2 linked regions of the Astyanax mexicanus genome follow. The protein of the gene in region 1 purifies or fractionates together with the protein of each later gene. This does not show direct contact. Links are inferred from orthologs where the notes say so. Each region holds a gene or a part of one and is shown on either strand. Other genes may lie near its edges.

Region 1 (3,755 bases):
GCTGTTTTCATACTTTTCTATGTCTGATCTGTCCAGTTTTTAACTGTAATTTTTTACATATTTTTCTGCATTTGTTATTTCTGCTTGTCTGAAATGTACTGATAACTCTTGTGTAAATAAATATGAGCATCGATTCTGGTGGTTTTAAATGTTCTGGTGTTTTTTTTTTTATATTAAATATTTTAAAAAGTAGTTAAAGTGGCCTTCAAAAGTATTCATACTCATTCATTGAGCTTTTTTTCACATTTTGCCACCTTATAAACACAAACGTAAATGTGTGTGTATATATAAAAATCTTCCCAATTTACAAGACCAATTACCCAACCCACTCATTTGGACCCTATCACTAGTGATGCCCCAACACCAGGAGGGTGAAGTCTAACATGCCTCCTCCAATACATGTGAGGTCAGACTCTCTTTTCAAACTGCTGCTGATGCATCATTGACCAGTAGCATCGTAGTGACTTGGTTCCGATACATCAGCTCACAGACGCAAACATGTGCTGATCCACATCACCCTTTGGAGTGATGAGGGGAAAGAGCGCCATCTACACACCTAGAGAGAGCAAGGACAACTGTGTTTTCTTGGGGGTCCTGCAGCTGATAATAAGCTGCATGATCAGGATTCGAACCAGCAGTGTCCTGATCATAGTGGTAGCACCTTAGTCCACTGGACCACTCTGCGCCCGTGCAAATGGTTTTTATTGAGATTTTAAGTGATGGACCAGCACAAAGTAGCACATAATTAGGAAGTGGAATAAAAACAATACTTTTTTTTTTGACATGCAAAAGTAATCAGCCCTCTTTACTCAGAAACCCATAAAATCTCAATTAAATAATTTTTTAATACAGGTTTGTGGTTGTAAGGTGACAAAATGTGAAAAAAATTCCAAGGGGTATGAATACTTTTGCAAGCCACTGTACTAGCCTAGTTAGCTAATTGAAGGTAACACTTTACAATAAGGGTCACAAATAACAGTTTTTACAACAGGATTAAGATAAAGATCTTTTTGAAGGTATTAACTAAATATGACATTTAGCTACGGAACGTTAGACAAACACCTGAAAGATCCTGCCGATTTTGATACACGGATTGTTATTCCACCCAATATTGATTTGAACGCTCTGCATCTTTTTTTTTATTTCAGCCATTTCTTATTTTCTGCAAATAAATGCTCTAAATGACGATATTTTTTTGTTTGAGATTTGAAAGAATTGTCCGTAGTTTATAGAATAAAACAACAGTGTTCATTTTACTCAAACATAAACCAATAAATAGCAAAATCGGAGAAACTGATTCAGAAACCAGTTTATATGTATTACATAACTAAATAATATAAATAATAATCATTAAAATCATTTTTATTTATTTATAACTAATAACACGTGTTTTGTATTTATTGAATTGCTATATTGTGAATTTTATCAAAGTAATAAACAAATAAGTAAACATAAACGCCGTTGGTTGCTGGGCAGCGTTCAGGGCACGGGATTGGTCGTTGCTAAGGGCGGTCGCTAAGGCAGGAGCGGACGCCTCAGCGCGGGGCATTGTGGGAAGGAGAGAAGTTGTGTATTGGCTGTATCTGGAGGCAGCATGAAGGTATTTAATGTTATTAAACTCGCGGTCTGTGATTATAATGAGCTGCTGGGTTTATTTAACTGTTTATCTCTCAGCGCGGAGTTTCAGCGCGGCTTAGTTTTAACTCGCTACCGGTTACCGCTGTATCTGCAGCTCCGCTAGCCTAGCCTGCTAACTCTCAATAACCCCGAGCTCCCATACACGAGCCAGCAGCGCTCGAGCTCCTACATACAAGCTAAACACCTACAGAAACAATAACACAGCGCTACGAGTTTAAACATTTAGCCCGTTTTCTCCCCTCTTTTCTCTATCTCCTTTTATCTGTTTCTCTTCATCTCCTCTATGTTTCTCCTCCTCTCTCGTTCTCCTCACTCTTTTTCCTTCATTCTATTTCTCCTATCCTGTTCTCTGTATTTCCTCTTCTCTTTACTGTTTTTCACATTCTGTTTCTCCTCCTATTATCTGTTTCTTCTCTCCCCTGTTTTTCCTCTTCTGCCTCTCTGCTTCTCTGTTTCTCCTCTCTTATTCTCGGTTTCTCCTCCTCTGTTTCTTCTCTCCTCTTCTGTTTCTCTTCTCCTATTATCTGTTTCTCCTCCTGCACTCTTCTCCTATTCTCTTTATCCTCTTAAATTATGTTTCTCCTCTGTTTCTCCTCCTCCCTCATTCTCCTCAGTCTTTCTCCTCTCTCTGTTTCTCATATTCTGTTACTCCTCCTTCTCTGTTTCTTTTCCCCTCTTCTCTGTTTCTCTTCTGCTATTTTCTGTTTTTTCTTTCCTCTTTTTTTCTCTTCGCTTATTATCCGTTTCTCCTATTCTGCTCTTCTCCTATTCTCTGTTTCTCTTCTTCTATGTACTATTTCTCCTTTCATATTCTCTTTCTTCTCTCATGTTCTGTTTTTCCTCTCCTGTTTTCTGTTTCTCATCTCATGTTCTCTGTTTCTCCTCTCCTATTCTCTCTTTCTCCTCCTCTCCTTTCTGACTCCTCTCTCTCCTCTATCCTTCTCCTCTCTATCTTCTATTCTGTTTCTCCTCTCTTCTCTATCTCCTATTTTATCTCCTTCCCTTTTCTGTTTCTCACCTCCTCTCTTTCTCCTCTCTTTTAATCTCCTCTAATTCCACTCCTCACCTATCCTATTCTGTTTCTCTTCTCATCTCCTTTCATTCTCCTTTTGCCTCTGTGTCTCCTCTCCTATTCTGTTTCTAGTCTCTTTCTCTCTTCTATTTTCTGTATAAATTCTTTTCTTTTCTATTCTCTGTTTCTCCTTTCTTTCTTATCTTCTGTATTTTCTCCCCTTTGTCTCTATTCTTTTTCCCCTGCTATCTTCTCTTCTCTGTTTCTCTTTTCTTCTTTGTCTCTCTGTCTCTCCTGTTTCTCCTCTTCTCTCCTATTCTGTTTCTCCTCTCTTCTCATATCCTCTGTTTCTCCTTTTCTCTGTTCCTTCTCTCCCCTTCTCTTTCTGCTGTCATCTCCTCTTCTCCATTTTTCCTTCTCTTCTTCTATTTTTTGTTTCACCTCTCATCACCTCTTCTCTGTTTCTCATCCTCATTTCTCATTCTCTCCTCTCCTGTTTCTTCTCTTTTCTCATCTTTTCTTCTTTGTTTCCTTCTTTGTTTCTTTGTTCCTCCCCTTCTCTCCTATTATTTTTCTCCTTTCTTCTAATCTCTTCTCATTTGTTTCTCATCTCTTCTCATCTCCTCACCCCTGTTTTTCCTCTCCTTTTCTTCTCCTATTCTCTCCTGTTTCTCCTCTTTTCTCCTCTTCTAATCTGTTTCTCCTCTCCTCTGTTTCTCCAGAGAGTCTTCACCCTGTCGGAGAAGGGCTGGAGCGGCTCGGCTCTGCAGTACAGATGGCAGAAAGCTCTGGGGAATTATCTGGCTGTTGCAGGGTAAGATCAGTTGTAGCTGTTTGTATGTTGTATGTAGGTCATGTTTTTATTCTATTTTTATACAGTTTTATACATTTGTATTGTTTCTATACTATTTTTATTCACTTACTGTTTTATGAGCAGCCCCGACAACTCGGTCAAGATATTCGACCGTCATGGACAGAAGATGAACGAACTCAGTCTACCTGGGTCAGTACAAGCACTCTTACAGTACCAGTCCTCTTCTGATTTTATGATTTATGAGTTATGATTTTTTTTTTAAGATTGTTAATTTAATATTGAAGACATTAA
Region 2 (3,755 bases), on another chromosome or scaffold:
GTAGAACTCACTTTATTTAATTCAAAACAAACATTAAAAAATCAATGAAAACACTAAACAATCTGTGATTTTTCCTTTTGTACCATATCCCTATTTTATTTTTCATTACTTATAGTTAAAATGTTTCTATCTGTAAAAGTTAATAAATATATAATTTAAAAAATATGCCTATTATGCTAATAAATTTCATACAAAAATATAACAAAAATATTAGTTAGTTAGTTAGTAATTAATACATTTCCTTATTATTATTTCTTTTGATTATTCAAATACAAATAAGACAACAAATTGTTGTTTTCAAAGAAGACATACATGTATCACATATATCTAAGTGATTACGTCAATTTTAAATGATTTGATACAGTCTGTAATGTAAAGAAAGAGCAGAAAGTGGAGTACAAAAACATAAATTATCTTAAGCAGAGACCTATAGCTTGTTAGCTAGCTATGTTAGCTACAATTGTAGATAGAATTTAAGATAATAAAATTACATACAGGGTTTTTGTTTTGCAAGGTAACTACATGTCCATAAAAAAATCTGGGATTTTAACAGTGTAACTCTACATTTATGAATTAAGTCATTTATTTTCCTGAAAGTACCAAAACTTTTTTATAGCATCGAGTACAGACTGTGTACAATTTTTATCACAACATAAAAGAAAAAAAACATAGAATCATTTATATCGCCACATTGTTAAAGTATATATATATATATATATAATACATTTTAAGTTAATAATATTTTATAAGTAATCTCTCTCCAGAAACATGAAGGAATATTTTAAGTGTGCTCAGCAAATTTTCTAAACATGGGTAGCGGGTCCTCAGAACTTTTATTTTGACGGGGTGACGGCAGAGCTCCGTCCGTATTACACCGGAGACCTGTTGATATCGCCACAAAGCGAATTTTAACGAAATATTTAGCATTAAAAACAACGATGCGAGCTGTTCCCACATGGATAGATAAAGTACACGACCGGGATAAGGTTGAGCAGTGGTGAGACTCGCTGGTTTATAAACTGCTGGCTTTGTTTGTGTGAATTTTGATCAGTGGATGTGGTTAGCAACGGCGGTTACTATGTAAACCACTGGAGGGGTTTGTCAATATTAGCTTACTAGCTTATATTGGCTATGTGGCTAAGCTAACGATATCTACATAAATTTGTAAAGCGAAATATGTCGTTTGTGTAGTATTTAGCAGCCTGGCGGTGCAGCAGCAGGGTATTTTCTCTGGTTTCTGCTGTTGTTAAGTTGCAATACTGGATAAAACACAACCTAGCTTATTTAGCTTAGCTAACCAGCGTTAACAACCCTAACGGTTTAACCTAGCTTAAGCTAGCCTTTCATTTTAACTAGTTCATGTAAAAGTAACTTAGCTAGATTACCAAAGCAGTGTCGGTAACGTTAATGTTTACTGACAAACCAAAAACATATTTACGCGTCTGAATTAAGCATTTTAAACAAAGCAGGGCATAGCTGTAGGTGTATGAGAAATAATGTGTAGCTCATAGGTTTGCCACTCGTCCCGTAAAACACAGAATCGTCCTTTATTTGGCAATTAAATGTTGTTAATTAAATGTGGTTTGTTCGGTAACGTTATTTCCATAAATGTCCAAAACACATGTCTAACACACAGGTTCTGTTACAAAGTCAAATTAATGATTCATTCATTTAATATACAGCAGTATTAGCCAAAATAAGTATTATATATGGTCATATAAAGAACAAATCATACTAATGGATTAACAGTTAAATAAATAAATAAACAAATACATAAATTAACTTCATTTGAGAGAAAACCTTTATTGTAGAGCTTTCTCTGTATTTTGTATCAAAATGTTTGTATTTTTGGGGAATACAGTCTTCAGTGATTATTACATAAGTTATATTATTACAGTGGTGTAACTATGCACAAAAATATTCTACCGCATAACAAATTGTAAAATAATAATAATAATAATAAAAATAATAAATTGAAATTAAAATAAAGTGTATGTATATAAAACATACCACTGCTGCTGGCACCATGCCACACAGAAGTTGAGGAGCCATGTTTGTTTGTTGTTTATTTCTGATAGGTGGCAACTCTAGTAGTTAACTAGCTAGGTTAGCTTGCAGGCCAGTCTGTCTATTCTGTGGTTGTGTGATTCTGTAAATTTGTCATAAACTAAACTGCAACAAGCCAACATAAACTAATCTGAATAAACAAGCCAACATAAACTGATCTGAATTAAAAACGGAATCTCTTTGATGTATTGCTTTGTCTTCCTCTGTGTGGCAGCATTTATGACCTGGCGTTCAAACCAGATGGCAGTCAGCTCATAGTGGCAGCTGGAAACAGAGTGCTGGTATGTGGTGCTTCTTTTATGAAAGGATTTTTAGTTGTTTATAAATTCTAAGCTAATTTATTTAAGCTACATTGTACAAATGTCTGTAAACATCTCATCCAACTTTAAAAAAAAAAATCTAGGGTATAATTATAGAAATAAATGTGTTCTGAATCAAAAACATGCCATATAGCCCACCCTCAACTTGGTCAATATAAATAGATAAATGTTTTGTTATATTTATTAAGGTAAGTCAACAAAATCAAACAAACAAAATATTGAAAAACATGGCAAGTTATTCTGTAAGGAAAAAAAAAAAAACAGTAAAAGAAATTCTGTATATTTTGACAAAAGTACAGAAATTACAGTACCAGGGACACTGTCTAATTCAGTGTTTTTCTTTAGTTTGTTTTCTACATACTGGTTTATTTAATACTTTTTGTTTACTAAATAATTCTGCATGTCTTCTTGTATAGCTTTAATATAGTCTTCAATATTAAATTTACAATATTATTGGTGGATTTTGTTCTGAGTTTAGTTAAAATGTTAAAACATAAAACAAATCTGCTGCAGGTTTACGATACAGCTGATGGGACCCTTATCCAGCCACTTAAAGGCCATAAAGACACTGTGTACTGTGTGGCTTACGCTAAGGATGGTAAGTTTATTAATACTTAATAATACTTATTAATACTATTTTGGGCTCGGTTTCTCAAATGCTTTGTCTACTTAACTGACAGAAAAAGTATTTAGTGTGATGCTCTCTTTGACATTAGTATTGATCTGGATTTTGAGAGACATATCTCTATATATGTGCAGCGTATGATGCCACTGTCAGTATTTTTTATTCTTGATATAACTTCTCAGAACTTTTCTTCTCTTTGGTCAGGAAAGCGTTTTGCATCTGGCTCTGCAGACAAAAGCATCATTATCTGGACCTCAAAACTGGAGGGCATTCTCAAATACACGTGAGTTTGTGCTACTTTAATGTGATTTATGGTTATGGGGATTGCTATCATAACCACAATTGCTGCTTTATTTCTCACTTTACACTATTAATGGTGTTGTACTTACCACTTATAATCACCAGAGCAACACCAAAGCAACCACCTGGAATGCTTTAGGGCAACCATCTTACATCTAAAAACACCATAGAAACCACCTGGAAAACCAACACATAGCAACAACCTACCCAACTATTTTTTCTGTTTTTAGCTACAGTGCATCAGCGAGCTGGAATTCATTACAGGAAACCCTAAAACCCAGCTCGCTGGTGTCACTAAATCATTTTAAACTTTTAATATCTAACCATCCTCAGACAGCCTGTAACTTATTTAAAATTATTTTGTCTTTTTATTTATCTAATTTTATGTTTTACAAGTAAGCACTTTTATTTTATTTATTTTATTCATTTCATCCTTTTATTTG

The links. The genes of interacting proteins can lie anywhere in the genome.
Region 2: the proteins of wdr19 (region 1) and ift122 purify together in Homo sapiens (affinity purification with mass spectrometry; 4 studies listed by BioGRID and IntAct, counting the BioPlex papers as one, with this or other methods). This does not show direct contact. The link is inferred for Astyanax mexicanus from reciprocal best matches to the Homo sapiens genes WDR19 and IFT122.

The regions. Positions count from the first base shown.
Region 1 is NC_064432.1:8,207,368-8,211,122, reverse strand, and holds the start of wdr19 (WD repeat-containing protein 19), read left to right. Parts: upstream 1-1,509; 5' UTR 1,510-1,594; coding exon 1,595-1,600; intron 1,601-3,372; coding exon 3,373-3,464; intron 3,465-3,587; coding exon 3,588-3,653; intron 3,654-3,755. UniProt on the Homo sapiens protein: As component of the IFT complex A (IFT-A), a complex required for retrograde ciliary transport and entry into cilia of G protein-coupled receptors (GPCRs), it is involved in cilia function and/or assembly.
Region 2 is NC_064419.1:15,112,416-15,116,170, reverse strand, and holds the start of ift122 (intraflagellar transport protein 122 homolog), read left to right. Parts: upstream 1-838; 5' UTR 839-938; coding exon 939-997; intron 998-2,281; coding exon 2,282-2,348; intron 2,349-2,900; coding exon 2,901-2,985; intron 2,986-3,216; coding exon 3,217-3,295; intron 3,296-3,755. UniProt on the Homo sapiens protein: As a component of the IFT complex A (IFT-A), a complex required for retrograde ciliary transport and entry into cilia of G protein-coupled receptors (GPCRs), it is required in ciliogenesis and ciliary protein trafficking.